2 linked regions of the Notamacropus eugenii genome follow. Each later gene encodes a partner of the first gene's protein in a complex. Links are inferred from orthologs where the notes say so. Each region holds a gene or a part of one and is shown on either strand. Other genes may lie near its edges.

Region 1 (7,383 bases):
ACATGCTAAGACTGGCATGAAATGACAGCGAGTGAAGATGTAAATGAAAACAACACAAGAGAAAGGTAACTAATTAAGTGTAACGACTAGTCTTCATTCTGGAGAAGAGTGGGGATGGGGTGTGGAATCTATGGACCAGTTTTACTCATTTTTCTTTGTTACAAGGGAAAGACATGGGGAAATTTTTATAAAGTAAAAAATAAAAGATGTTAAAACTTAAAAGAAAGGAAGGGGGAAAAAAGAAAGGTAAAATGAAAGAAGTCTTGGCTTTTCCTCCATTTCTTAACTTCATAACAAGACAACTTCTGGAAACTTCTCTTGTTCTTGGCCCTGCATTTATATTGATTTAGTACAGGATCTTTTTAGCCTTCAAAGGAATGGGTCAGGGAAGAAATGTGAGAGGCTAAGGATGGTTAAAGGACTAGAAGGCTTCTGAAGGTTCCTTAGCTTCTGACCCAACCATTCAACTGAAACTGTCCCCTTCAAAGCTTTCAACAAGCTTTTGTTGCTAAATCTAATGGCCGAATGGAGTGGGTAGGGCCACTTAAGATAATACTACACTACATAAAAAGAGGGAAGCTAAGTGAAAATACTGGACCTACTGTCAGAAAGACCAGAGCTAAAAATCTGACCTTGGATATTTGGGCAAGTCACTTAACCTATGTTTGTCTTACTCCACCAGAAAAGGAAATGGCAAACTCCAGTGTCTTTGCCAAGAAAAACCCATGGGCAAGATGGAGTTATGAAGAGTTGAACATGACTGAACATACATGTGATGGAGTGCTCAGACCCCAGCCCTAAGATCATGTCTCTGAAAACTTCCCAATTTCTCAGTGGACCCCTGTCCTCTGAGAAAATTTTCTCTTGTTGTAGAATACATTCTCTTATCAGAACAGACAGAGGGGTGCCTGGCCCAGGGATTTTTGTCCCTGGCTAGTCCAAGGACTCCCCTCACCACATCAGATCCCCACGGTCCATGCCTCTAAGAATTCCCTCAATGTCTGGTATGAACACAGCTATCTCTGCAAAGCTCCCTACATTTTCCCATCCATAGCTCCCAAAGACACCTTTGCATTACCTAATTAGAATCCTCAGTATCCTTTCCCTTGTCCCTTTTCCATATAAGTCCCAGCACCATCCTAACTGTATTATAGGTTCCTTTAAGGATCTTTGCCTGCTTTTGCTAAAGCTTTACTTTTTGCACTTGACTAAGAGAAGGCTTGAGTGTATGAATTCATTCTGCCTTGGCATTCTCAGGGTCCTAGCACTCCCAAACCTCATCACATGTGCTAGACAATGGAGATATAAAACTTTAAGACAGCTAGGTAGCATAGTGGATAGAATGCCAGGCTTGAAGTCAGGAAGACTCATCTTCCTGAGTTCAAATCCAGCCTCCTACACTTCCTAGCTGTGTGACCCTGAGCAAGTCCTTTCACTATGTTTGCCTTGCTTTCCTCATCTGTCAAACGAGCTGGAGAAGGAAATGACAAACCACCCCAGTATCTTTGCCAAGAAAACCCCAAATGGGGTCAGGAAGAGTCAGACGTGACTGAAATGACTAAACAACAACCACCACCATCCCTGTAGTAATCCAAATTTGCAGTGTCTCAGTCATCCTCAATTCCTCCCTTGCCTTTCTCCTTACTCATTTGTTGAATCAGTCGCAGAGTCTGCTTGAACAACATCTGTCATAAGCTGTTCCATCTCTGCTCATTGTCTCTTGAGGCTATTGCAGTAGCTTCCTAACTACTCCTCCAGTCAATTCATCCTTGACTTAGTTGCCAAAGGGATATTCACTCCTACAGCACTGGCCTCACCAAGAGACTCCTCTACAAATGAAGTTCTAATGGGCTCCCAAATGCTTCTAGGATGAAATACCTGTTGGGGTTTTGAATTTAAAACATTTAAAGCCTGTTAGAATCTAGCCCCAGCTGACCTTTCCAGGCTGTTGACCTGAAAACTTGGTTAAAGAAAAGGCAGCAGGCTAATGCATACATTTTATGATTTAATTAATTAATCAATTCCCTATTAAAGACAACGGTAACATAATGCATTATGGAGCCAGAAATGTTCTGGCTACCCAGTGCAGAAATCTTCTGGCTTATATACATTTTGCCATGAGAAAGGAACTCTCCTAGTTGAACAAATCATAAATTCAGTAAGACAGGACAATTAACAAAGTAATGTTGGTCAGGCCTTGGGATTCCAGCTGGGTAAACATATGTCTTGGTGATAAAGAAGGAAATCCCACCACTAGTAAGTGGCAGGCTTCCTGCCCTAAACAGATAACTGACATAAGAAAGGGTAAACAAAGTTCAATAGAAATTACGACCTAAGATGTCTGTGTTTTCTTTACCATTAACATGCCATAACATAGTGTAGGTCTACAAATATTAAGATATGGAAAACGTCCCATTATTCAAGATAGTGTCTTAGGTTAAAGGTCTCCTTAAGGAATGTAGAGTCAGCCTTGGCTGGCTTTTGCTGACATAGGAAGAGGCACCCTCTGAGTTTGCTTCAGAGAGAACAAAGAGATTATTCTAAAATTTTATATTAAACATTATCAAGGCTCACTAAATATTATTACCCTTCCACATACTCTGTGCTCTGTATAACTCAGTGGTTCTCTCAAAGTGTGGTTCAGGAACCCCTCAAATCCCTGAGACCATTTTGGGACACCTCCTTTCAGGAAGACAACAAAATAGAAACTATTTTGTAATAATACTAAGATGTTTTCATTTTTAAAATGACAAATATTGATAGATGTTTGAAGGGAAGGGTGACGGAAGGGAATCCAAGGGAAAATCCAAGGTGACGTGAAAAAAATAATTAGCAAAAATCTATTTTAATAAAATAGTTGGTAGCTTTGGAGAGGATAATTTCATTTGAATGACAGAGCCTGAAGCTAGCTTACAAGTGATTTAAAAACTGAGTGAAGAAGCTTACTAACCAGTATAGACAGCTTTTTATAGGAGTTTCTATGGAAAAATGAAATTAAAGGTTTGTTTTGATTTGTTTTTTTAAGGGTAGGGAAGACCTGGGCATGTTTGTAAATGGTGGAGTAGAAGCCAGTGGAAGAAAACTTCAAGACAAGAGAAGGATGGAAGAAAGGATTAGAAATTGAATAGAGAACAGGGGTGGAGCATCGGTTTTAGCCATGGGGCATTTCTGAAATGGTGTAACACTTGTCTTGTCCCATCAGTCCATCAATTAACATTTATTAAGGGGCTGTTCTATGACAGGCACTGTGCTGAGTGGGGGTACAAAGAAAGGCAAAAAGAAATCAGTCCCTGCTCTCAAGGAGTTCACAGTCTAATGGGGGAGAAAGCATGCCAACAATAAATTAGGGGTCATCTCAGACACCAAGATCAAGGGGGACGGTGGGAGGGTTTCCAGCACAAGGAGGGACTTTGGCTGATTCTGGAAGGCAGGAGGGGTGGAGATGAGGAGAGCGAGACTTGGAGGCATGGGAGGCGGAGAGTGGAAACCCTCTCCCCGGGGAGATGCAGGGTTGTGCGGGAGGGGGAGCAAAGCAGGGTCAGACCAGAGGTGGGCGGGGCTCGCTCCAGGTGTGGGATACCTGGACAGGTGGCCAGGAGCCAGGTTGGGAAGGGCTTTGGAAGCCAGACAGGGGCTGTTTCTGTGTGATCGTGGAGGACAACAGGGAGCCACAGGAGGGTGCTGAAGAAAAGGCTGTTTTGAGAAAAACGCTTTGTAAATCTTAAAGCCCCGCAGAAATGGGTATTTTCGCACTCACGTCAAGTAAACCGGGAGGGCTGGACTGGTTTAGTTCCGAGGGTCTTAGCCTGAGGTCCGAGAACTGGGTTTTTTAAACGTGTGTATGTATATGACCACAGAAGTGATATGAATGTATATGATGATCGAAGGTATGTGTACAGACCGTTTACTTGTAATTGTTACATATGTGTATTTTAATGTTTTCTATATTAGGCGTATTTATAGATGTCATAGTGTTACATCTCTATAAATTACATTTTTATATTTTTAAAATAGAAATTACATATATGTATGTTTATGTATACACGGATCACTTTCAGGGTTATTTCCTTTGTAGTCTTGTGTATTTTATTTCACACACTTTAAAACATGATTCTAAGGGGTCCGTGGGTTTTGCCATTAGTTCGAGGGCCCAAAGAGCGAAAAAGCCCTCTTCCTGACATTTTGGAGAGAAGGAAACTGAGGCAGGGAGGGAAGGGAAGTGACTGCCCCCGGGTCACGCGGTCGGCGGCAGGGCCCACTCTGCACACGTCCCCTCCCATCCAGGCCGAGGCTAATTCTGCGTGAGGCGCCGCCCAGGGTGTAGGGCGGAGCTCGCCACCGTGGGGGAGGGGAGGGAGGGAAGTCCGGGAGCAATAGGCGGGGCCCCTCGCCCCTCCTCCTCCCCCCACCCTTCTCGGCGCTGACTCGAGGGTAACCATGACAACCGGAGGCCTTGACGCCCAGAGGACGCTCCTCCGCCGCCAGAGGTCTTGGAGGTGGCTTCCCCTCCCTGCCAGTGAGGGCCCCGTGGATACAGTACCCTACTGGGCGGCGTCTGCGCAGACTCCAGACTCCTGACACAGAGAGGAAGAGGTGGGGAGAGGGGAAATGTTTTTAATTCCTAACGCGAGTTGATGATTTTTGTCCCGTCGGAAGCCCCGTCCCGCGGCTGTTGCGCCGTACCTGCTGAAGCCGCGTGGTTGCATCACGTGGCCAGAGGAGGGCGGTCACATGACGCGACGTCCCGTGAGCGGCCTGGACTCAACTTACTGTCAAAACCCGAGATGGAAGCGACCCTGGAGCAGCACCTCGAGGACACGTGGGTAGTGTGGGCACGGGCGGGCCGGGCACTTCGGTGGCCTAGTCGAGGCCCGGTCCCGGAGGGAAGACGTGGGAGGTGTGGGGGGCCGCCCGGTTCGCTCCTGTAACCTCGGCGTCTGGTCTGTGTTAGGATGAAGAACCCGTCCATCGTCGGCGTCCTGTGCACGGACTCGCAGGGACTGAACCTGGGCTGTAAGTAGCGCCTTGGCAGGGAGCTTGTGCCCGGACCGGGGGCGGGGGCAGGCACGGGCCTCCGGTGTGCCGGACGCGCCGGGGATGCGGAAGGAGGTCGGGGTGGCTCCCGCCCCCGAGGATGCCGCGTTCTAACGGGGGAGGACCACCGGCAGGGGGTTGTGGATAAGAAAGAAGGTAATCCTTCGAGCAAGGCCCCACCCCCGGGGGCACGAGCAGGGGAAGCCTCCGCGGAAGATGGGACTCCCCCACTTAGGATACGGGGTGCCCCGGGGGAGAAGAGCCGAGGCCGCGTCCCCAGACCTTGGGGGCCCTGTTGGCACAGGTGTTCTCTAAGAAGGGCATCGACAGGTGGTGTACGTGCTGATGGGCCAGGTGCCCGGTTGGCCCATAGGTTGATGTCGTTGCATTTTAGCAGGGGAGGGAGGGCTACGTCTCCCTAGTACTTAAAAAAGTGTGTGGTTTCACTGTGTAGCTACTCATTTCACTGTAGAAAACGTTGGTCTTTCTTTAACCTGGGGTGGAGGATTTTTGTGAATTGTCCCTGGTTTGTTACATAATCTCAGGTGGGTCCTCGAGGCAGTCTTCTAACTCTTGCCCATCTCCACCTGTCCCGTCTGTCCTTCCTTGCTTGGGTGTCTTTGGAAGACACAGCCCTCCCTAAAAAGGCCCCCAAGCTCGGCTTCAAAGAGCCTGTTTCATCAGTTATTTCCGAATTCTGGTCTTAGGGTATGTAACTAGGGATTATTTGGGAGATTACTTAGGACGGGGAGGACTTCGTTGCCTCACCCCACTCCACCCCCTATCATTTTACGTTTATTCGCCCATGCCCTCCCCCATGCTGCCATTCTTTTTCAGTGCCTGACTTCTTGGGAAAATTGTCTGTATTCCAGACCTCTGTTTCTTTACCAGACACTCATTTCTGGACTACAGGTAATTGGGCTTCCTCCAAGGTTACCAAGGATCTCTTTACCTGCTGAATCCAGTGACTTTTCCTCAGTCCTCCTGCACCTTGATTTCTCTGAAGCTTTGACACTATTGACCATCCTTTCTTGAATATATTCTCCTTATTTGGATTCCGTGGCATTTCTCTCTACTGTTCTTCTTGTCTGCCTTCATCCTATGAAATGTCTCTCTTGCTGAAATGCCGTCCATCCCCTACCTCCTTTACTGTGGCTGACCCTCTACAGCTGTTCTGATTCCTCTTCATGGTACATGTTCTCCTTGGTATCATCTGTTCCTACAGGTTCAGTGTATCTCTACACTAAGGACTTGTTTCCAACTCACACCTTTTCCTAAATTCCATTTCTACATTATGGAAGCCTGATGTTTGACAGTGTGTGGCAAACTTAACTTGTTCAAAACAGAATTGTTTTCATCTTGAAACCTTTTCCCCTAAAATTGCTCATCCTTGGTTTTTCCTTCTCCCTCCCCCCCCCCACTTGCCAACTCCTGTTTGTTCTCCCATCCCTTGTCATCACTCAGAATGGCTACCACCCTAGTTCAGATCTTTATTGCTTCTTGCCTGCACTTTTGTATTGTAATAGCCTCCCAGTCTCTCCATTCTCCTTTCAGCTGCTAAAAGTACTTTCCTAATTCAGATCTGAGCATGACACTTTTCCTCAAAAATCTTGTGTCTCCTCATTGTCTAGAGCATAAAGTACAAACTCCTTAGCCTTGAGCCTCCCATAATAACAACTGACACTACTTTATGGACATTTTATTTGGACCTCAGAACAGTCTTGTGAAGCAAGCCCCGCAGGTTTTATTATACTCCATTTTACAGCTGAGTAATCTGAAATTCAGAGAAGTTCAGTAGTTTACCTGTGTTCAATTAATGTATCTATCCCCTTCAGTGTCTATCCCCTGAATCATTCTGTGTCTCAGCCTGGCTTATCTTTGTTGCCTTGTTTCTTTATATTCTGCTTCATATGCTCTGTATTCCAGCCATGTTGGCAAATTATCTATTTTCAGATCTTGGCATGCCATTTCCCATCTCTAATTTTGCACAGGCAACCCCCCCTCCCCACTTCCCACCACCACCTTTGTAAAGAGACTCCTTTCTCATTGTTACCTCTTAAGAGTTACTTGATGGCTGCTTCTAAGGTTCTACTGTAGTACCAACTCTCATAGGAAACCTTTCCTCTCATCTCCCCTACCATGTTAGTGTAACCTCCTTTTTCATTTATCATGTGTTGAAGTTGTGTACCTTTCATAAAATAAGCTCCTTGAGGACAGGGACTATGTTTTTGTTTTTTTCCAGTATTCCTAGCATAGGGCTTTGCACATAATAAGCGCTTAACAAATGTTTATTTAATTGATATGCTGTAGCTAAAAAAAACCGGACGGCCAAACATTGTTTTCATCTCT
Region 2 (7,800 bases), about 91 Mb from region 1:
AGATCCTTGCTTTCAGGTCTACTTGAGACTGTACCCTAAAATTGTTGTTGGGGTCCCACCCCCATGATGCACTTGGGAGTTTCTGTCTCCTCCTCCCTCCAATCATCCAGCATCTGCTCCAAGTCTATCCACTGATTAAAGTAATCAGAGTACAATGGAAACAACACTGAATTTGAAGTCGGAGGACCAAAGATCCAGAAGATTGCAAACTCTTGGAGAATAGGGATTGTTTTGTCCTTGTTACCCCTAGTTCTTAACACAGGGTCTGAGGCTTAGTGATTGTCAAATTGAATTGAATTTCAAAGTGCAAGCTGCCTTGAAGGTCAATGAGTCCAAACTTCCCATTTTACAGATAAGGAAACCGAGGCCCTGAGAGGTTGTGACTTGCCTGAGAATAACAGACATTTAAATAATATAGACAGTACTTAAACCCAGGTTCTCTAAATCTAAATCCAGCACTCATTCCATTATTAACATAGTCTAATCTGCACTTTTGCTATGTTTGTGACCTGGGCATATCACTTAGCTCTCAGTTTTTTCATCCATAAAACAGAAGGGGATTGGATAATAGGCTCTCTGTGTTCCCTTCCAGCCCTAAATCATTGACCCCAAAGAGTCATCCACTAAGGGAATCTAGTTTAAATCCCTCCACTCCAGGAGCTCCACTCCCCTTCATACCATGCAGTCCATAAGGATGAATTTGAGATTGTCTTCGTTAAAGGCTTGGTTCCCATTCCGGTCGTAGGCAGCCCAGATGTTACTGGCGATGGCAGCAGTGACCCTAGCATCGGTGTCCCCATAACCAGAGTAGGCCAGCAGGGAGCCCTCATTATTCAGCAACCTGGGGAGGGGGGATATAGTTAAAATGACTGGCTGGAGTCCTATGAATGTGTTCCGGGGTGAGAAGCCTGAGTTCCCTCTCCTAGATTTCGCTTTCCCCAGGGGTTGGGGCCCCAAGCTAAAAGCTATCAGCCTCCCCCCGCGACACACACACACTTTCTGAAAACCACTGCCCTCTTCTTCCCCCTTCCTTCCCTTCCCCCCTGCCCAAATCTTTCTTCTTCCCTCAGTCCCGCCACCCATTCCTCATCCAGGTTTCATTTCCCTAATAGCTCAAATTCCAGGAAAGCAAAGCTTGTTTCATTTTTGTCCATGAACCCCCCAAACCCCTGCACGGGGGCTGCCATCCAGTAGGGACGCCTTAACAAATGCTGGCTGACGGACCGATGGATTGATTGATAGCGTGCCCCTTTTCCTACACCTCCGTGTTCCTGGGGTCTCTTCCTCCCTTCCTGGGGTATGCAGAGCTCCCACTCCCGGGCCGGACTACAGGCTTGTTCCAATCCCAGCTAGGATGCACTGCATCCTGCCCCTTCTCCCCAGGGCACCCCCTACCCCCAACACTTACAGTGTGCTCTGGACGCCTCCGGTGTTGGCTTGACTTAGCACCTGGGTCAGGGCCTTGGGGCGAAGCATGACGACCGCTCCGAGTCCCCGCAACCCGGTCTACGTCCTGGATCCCTAGGGTCTTCCCCTGGCTCGCACTAGGTCGGACGCTTCCCGTAGCCCCGGCCGGTTCCCCCGGGGCTCACTGGGAATTGTAGTCTCCACCGGTAATGATCATTGCAGGCCTCCGTGGTAGGGCACCCTGGAAATTGTAGTTCTTTCTCAGCCCGAGAGGCATCTTGGGGGCCGTAGTCCAACATGCGAGGAGTAAAGACTCACCGAGGACATTTAAGCCGTCCCGGGAGCCTGGAGTAGTGTGGTCCGCACGTAATGAGTCATTTATTTAATTTTTGTGTGTGTGCGCAAATCTTTGCGCTTTGCAAGGTACTTTCATATAAATCAACAAGCATTTATTAAGCATGTAGCAGGCACTGTGCTAAACCTAAATTGCCCTTAATAATCATGTGGGGTAGGAAGGTTAAGTATTATTAATCTCCATTTTATATAAATGGGGATAAAAAGTCGTGACTTGCCCAAGGTCACACAGCTAGCTCCTACTTGAGCTGTTGTTTCCCTGTCTAGTGCTCTTTTCACTCCAGCATACTACTTTTGTTTTTATTTAAGAGAGGAGGTTAGAAGAAGAGGGAATTTAGCATAAAGCATCAGATGTTAGATTCCAATCAACCAGCAAACATTTATTAAGCTAAAAATACCCAGGTTCAAGTTCTGCCCCTGCCACACAATGACTGGGTAAATCTGAGCAAGTCATTTAACCTCCTTTCTGCAGACAACTAAGGGGATAAATTGCAGAGAAGGTGCTGGCCTGCACTGGTAAAAGGAATGTCCCCACCCAGGAGTTCCCTGCACCAAAGAAATCACAGCCTTATTCCTATCAAGCACAAAATCTTCTAGGTTCTAGTGACTGGGAGACACTTTACACAGGATTACAAAAGATCGAGGCTATTTGATTCTGAAGGGGAAGGAAGACTCCTAACTAGGGGAGGAGAAATGACCCTCAGAGGAAAGCTAAATGTCATCAGAAGGAGAGAAGTTTATAAGGTCAAGAAACAGAAGAGGAGTAGCTGTGGCACTGACCATTTTCTTATTTCTCAGGGCTGAAACCTTTCTTGTGTGTTGTCTCCCCATTAGAACCCGGTCTCCTGTAGATCAGGGACTGTCTTACTTCTCTTCTTCCCCAGGACATAACAGTACGTCAGTCAATAAATATTCAGCACCTACTGGGTGCCAGATACAGGGTTGTGCATAGATTAAATGCTTAATAATTTTTTTCATCCACCCATTTACACAGTAAACATCTGAGGCTGAATTCGAACCCAGGTCTTCTTGATTCCTTTTTGTCCTGTGAGACAAGAGACCTTTCCAATCCAGTGACCATCAGGACCCTTTAAAGTCAATGACCGTCCCGTCCAGTGAACTTTCTCCCTCCTAGACACATTGTCCCCGGTGCTGCCGTGACTCCCCCAGTCCGCTGGGGGCGCTGTAACCGCCGAGAGCTAGAGAAGGAAGAGAAGCGGAGACTCGCGGGGCGGGGCGGGCGCGGCTGCGGCGGCGGCGGAGGCGGCGGCGGCGGCAGGGGGGGGGGAGGGACGGAGGGCGGGCAGGAGAAGGCTGGGGTGGGGGGGGAGGGCTGGGGACGCCGTGGCCGGGCCGGGCCGGGCGGGGAGGAGGAGCCGGGGCCGGGCTGGCGGGCGGGCGGACGGCGGCGGCGGCATGGCGGAGCCGAACGGGGCCGGAGCCGGGGCCGGGGCCGGGACCGGGACCGGGACAGGGGCCGCGTCCGGAACCGGTGCCGAGCCGGGGCCAGGGCCCCCGATCCGGGTCACCGTCAAGACCCCCAAGGACAAGGAGGAGATCGTGATCTGCGATCGCGCCTCGGTGAAGGAGGTATGGACGCCGCTGGCCGTTCGGCGGGCCGCGGAGGCGGGAGGAGCGGCGCGCTGGGGGCCGGGCCGGGCCGGGCGCGGGCGTGCAGGGAGGGACGGAGGGGGCGGGGAGGGACGGCCGGGGGGAGGGGAGAGGAAGGAGGGGGCCTCTGGCACATGGTGGGGAGGGGAGGGAAAGGGGAGGCTCGTCCATCCCTGGAAGCAGACGGGAGGTGGGGGGCGAAGAGAGGTTGCAGGAGTGGGGTCAGGGGGCTGTCTGACCCACGAGGGTCCGGGCAGGCTAGAAAGTGAGGAGGCGGCGTACCCCCAGTCCCAGTCCTGGAGCTCGGAAGGGCCAGAAGCTGGCCCTAAGGGATGAGAGGAGAAAGCCCCCCATGCCCCAAATGCCCCATTCAGGGAAATGCCCTTTTCCTTTAAGACCCTGCTTGCCCCCACAGAGTGCTGGTTGTAGGCTGCCTTGGTCCTGATCCCCTCCTTTACTGCCTTAGCCTAGAATGAGTTTAAAGATAACGGCACCCCCAAGTTTAAAGGTGGAGAGTAAGAGAAAACTGAAGGGGGAGATCCAAGTGAGGAAAGAAAGGTTAGATAGTAGCAAGGAGTTGATTTTTTTTTGGGAGAGGGTGATACTGTGTTATGGACAAAAGAGTCAGAGAAACTGACTTGGTTAGAATTTAAACTCCTCAGTTTACTTTGGATAAGCCGGTCCACCCCCTCAGTTAGCTCATCTCTTGGGGTTGGCCTAAGTGGTCTGTAAGGTCCCTCTCAGCTCCAAATCCTGTGATCAAGGGAGGACTAGAGCCCCTGTGGTCTTCATCTCAGTAGAGTATGCAGCAGGACACAGAGGTGCTAGATTGGAGGAAAGATTTCTGATGACTGGAAATTGGAGCAAGGATTCTGAAGAAGAGTCTGAGCTGTTGGACAGTCTTTCTGTGAGGCAGGCCACACTGACCCTGGACCTTTGACCTGATATCACAGTTCAAAGAGGAGATCTCCCGGAGGTTTAAAGCCCAGCAAGACCAGCTTGTCCTGATCTTCGCTGGCAAGATTCTCAAAGATGGAGACACGTTAAATCAACATGGGATCAAGGATGGGCTCACTGTCCATTTGGTGATCAAGACCCCGCAGAAGTAAGTTTGGGATAACCAATAGGAGCTGCCCTTTGAATGGTCCTTGAAAGGCTACTGCTTTCTTACTCATCCTAACCCAATGGAAATCGTTTAGAGGTCTGAGAAGGAGATGCTATAGTCTTGATTGCGAGTTTGGGCTTTTTAAGTGTATAAAATTTAACTTAACATCCTCCTAGTATAATGTTACTTCCCTAGAAAAAATGGAGGCTAGTGTCTTACCCTTTTAAAAATCCTTGCTGAGAAGTTCAGTCCTTTATTAGTTTTCCATTTTCTTAAAGAAATAATTCTTTTGGAAAAAATTTTATTGATGACTTTTCTTTGAATGCCATGTGACTTTTCAGTCATTCTGTCTTCCTCTATTCTACAAAATAGTACTCTTCTCTTGTAGGAAAGAAAAACTGTAGTAAAGCAAAACAAACCATCATATTGACTGTTTCAGCCAGGTACCTCATTCTGCATTTGTAGTCCTTCATTGTTCTGTCAAGCAGAGGAAAGTGGTTTTGGCCATTTTCAGTTTTCTGACGTTGAGATTGGTCACTGCCTGGATCAAGTAACAATGGCTAGCATTTATACAGCACTTTAAGTTTTATAAGCCATTTTACCTCATTTGATCTTCAGCACTGGGAGTGCTCTTGCCCACTGTAGTCCCTAGCAGCCTAATGTTCTGATGGCTTTCATTGTTTTCCTTTACTTTAGTATGATCTTTCAGTAAATGATCATAATCAATTTCTAGTTCTGCTCATTTTACTCTGCATCAGTTCATTCAAGTCTTTCCAAGTTTCCCTGAACTCTTCTTATTTGTCATTTCTTATGGCACAATAAGATTCCATGGCATTCATGGTACAATTGAAAAGAGCCTTGGGTTTAGAGTCAGAACATTGGCTCAAACCCTGCCCAACACTTGCAACCTCTTTGACCTTGGACAAATCTCTTAACCTCACCAGGCCTTAGTTTCCTTGTCTGTAAAATGAAAGATGGACTCCTAGCTTCTTTATTTCCAGTTTCTTGCTATCTCAGAAAGTATTGTTATAAATATTTTTGTGTATGTGGACCCTTTCCCTTTGTCCTTGACATCCTTAGGATATGTCAATAAATCAGTCGCTAAGTCAATAAACGTTTACTAAGCACCTACTATATGCCTGGCCCTGTGTTAAAAGGGAAAGTCCCTGCCCTCTAGGAGCTTCCAATCTAATGTGGGAAGATTATATACAAAAGGCAGGTAAAGGGGGGAGGGGTAGTACCTGACTTGGGGGCATGGTGGAGAAGTCAGAAAAGTTCCAGAGGAGTGAGATCAGGTGAGAAATGAGATGTTCTGAGCCCAGCTCCCTGCTTAAATAGAGTTTTGAAAGTTCATGGCACCACCTTTCAATCAGAAGGGCAGAGGGTAGTAAAGAAGTGAAGTCCTAGGGCTGAAAAGACCTTTCAGGATGGTGAGATTTTCCCAATAATGAGCTTCTTTGACCCTGGTGGAGAAGTCACAGATGTCCCAGAGTAGTACTCAGGTGCGAAATAAGGAGGCCCAATACTGGTATTACTGGGGGTGAGTGTGTGGGCGTGTAGTTCAGCCCGGTTCCAAATTGTTTTCTAGAACACTTAGATCGGTTCATAGCTCTACCAACAGTATGAATGTGCTCATCTTCCCTCATATCAGCTAACATTTACCCTTTACCATGTAGTCATCTTTACCTGTGTGCTGGGTGTAGGGTAAAACCTGAGTTCTTTTCATTTTCATTTCTCTTATTATTAGTGATTTGAAACATACTTTCATGCGGTTGTCAATAGTTTGCAGTTTTCATTTGAAAACTGCCTGTCCATGGCTTTTAACCATTTTATATATTGAGAAATTTCTCTAATTCTTGTGTGTGTGTCTCTATATGTATATATGTACATGTATAAACATGCACATGTATGTACATATGCACACATATATGTATGTGTATACGCAGGCATATATGTGGATATGTATATATATTCCTATAGTGCACATATATGTATATTATTTCAATACGTATGTACACATACCTTGGGTGGTCAATGCTGTTATCCCCGTTTTATAGATGAAGAAACAGATTGAGAGAGGTTGAATGACTTCCCAAGGCCCCACAGCTGGTAAAAGTCGGAGGCAGGTTCTGAGCCCAGGTCTTTGGCTCCAGGTCCAGGAATCTTATCTTCCCCCTAGCTGACTATATATATGAGTTCTCTCTATCTCTTGGTAGACTTCTCGTTTCTAGTTCTGTGGCCTCTTTTGGCCGTTTTTTGGCTGAGACCCTGAGACTTGAGAGGAATCAGTAGGGTGTTAAAAAGAACATATTTTTTAAAGCTAAATTCTAGCATGGAGAACCACAAGCTGTTGGGAAAGTCAGCATCATCTTCCATAGCAGTCTAGGGACAGTGATCTGAATGGGCAAAGAGCAGCAACCTTTGAGCTGAAAGCTCTGAGTTCCATCATTGTAACTCCTCTTTACTAACTGTGGCTGTGGGCAACGACATCATTGACCTCTCTGAGTTTCATCTGTACAGTGGGAATGCTATATGTACTATTTCCCCCAGGAGGTTGTGAGGGAGGAATGAGAACTCACCATGTAGTGTAGTGGATGGAAAGCTGGCCTGAAGGCCAGGAAGACCTGGGCTCAAGTCTTACCTTAGACATGTATTGACTGTGTGACCCTGGGCAAGTCTCCTCTCACTGCTCTAGGTAGTTCTCTAAGACTCTTAAGTTACAGAGGAGTTGTCAGCTTATATTGGTGGACACTTGCTGGTTGTGTTACCTTGGGTAAGTCACTTAACTTCTCTGTCTGCCTTAGTTCCCTCATCTGTAAAAGGGGGATAGTAAGAGCACCTACCACTCAGGGTTATTGTGAGGATCAAGTGATGTGATATTTGTGAAGCACTTAGCATAATAACCTGCACATAGTAGGTTATATAAATAATTGTTTTCTAACTTGGTAGAGGGAGATTCTTCACCTTGAGAGTATCAGTGAAATCACAGCTCTGTTGCCTTTTCTTAGCCCTACTATGTGCTAAGGACTAGGGACAGAAACACAAAAGCAAGACAGTCTGCCCACAAGGGGCTATGTGATTCTGGTCAAGAAACATTTCTAATGGGGAGGGAGCACCTTTTCCCCTTCATCTTTTTCTGTCTCTCTTCTACCCCCTGGGACTCAGAGTGACTGAGTGATTTGCCTGTGGGCATATAACAGATTGGTAGGGCGCCACTTCTGGTGCCCAGGTCTTCTGAATGCCCAACTAGTCCTCCTAAGTTAGCACTGCTTTGCCATCTGAGCCTCCTTGTAAATTTGGGGTGGAATGGGGGGTGATTTATG

What was found.
Region 2: LAMTOR5 (region 1) and LAMTOR2 share a complex: the UniProt entries of both Homo sapiens proteins name them as parts of the ragulator complex. The link is inferred for Notamacropus eugenii from reciprocal best matches to the Homo sapiens genes LAMTOR5 and LAMTOR2.

Annotation. Positions count from the first base shown.
Region 1 is NC_092873.1:288,911,809-288,919,191, reverse strand, and holds the start of LAMTOR5 (ragulator complex protein LAMTOR5), read left to right. Parts: upstream 1-4,341; 5' UTR 4,342-4,634; coding exon 4,635-4,819; intron 4,820-4,951; coding exon 4,952-5,013; intron 5,014-7,383. UniProt on the Homo sapiens protein: As part of the Ragulator complex it is involved in amino acid sensing and activation of mTORC1, a signaling complex promoting cell growth in response to growth factors, energy levels, and amino acids.
Region 2 is NC_092873.1:380,136,456-380,144,255, reverse strand, and holds the start of LAMTOR2 (ragulator complex protein LAMTOR2), read right to left. Parts: upstream 3,010-7,800; 5' UTR 2,542-3,009; intron 1,649-2,541; 5' UTR 1,477-1,648; coding exon 1,409-1,476; intron 842-1,408; coding exon 679-841; intron 1-678. Other genes in the region: UBQLN4 (ubiquilin-4), read left to right, coding at 3,178-3,351, 4,326-4,477. UniProt on the Homo sapiens protein: As part of the Ragulator complex it is involved in amino acid sensing and activation of mTORC1, a signaling complex promoting cell growth in response to growth factors, energy levels, and amino acids.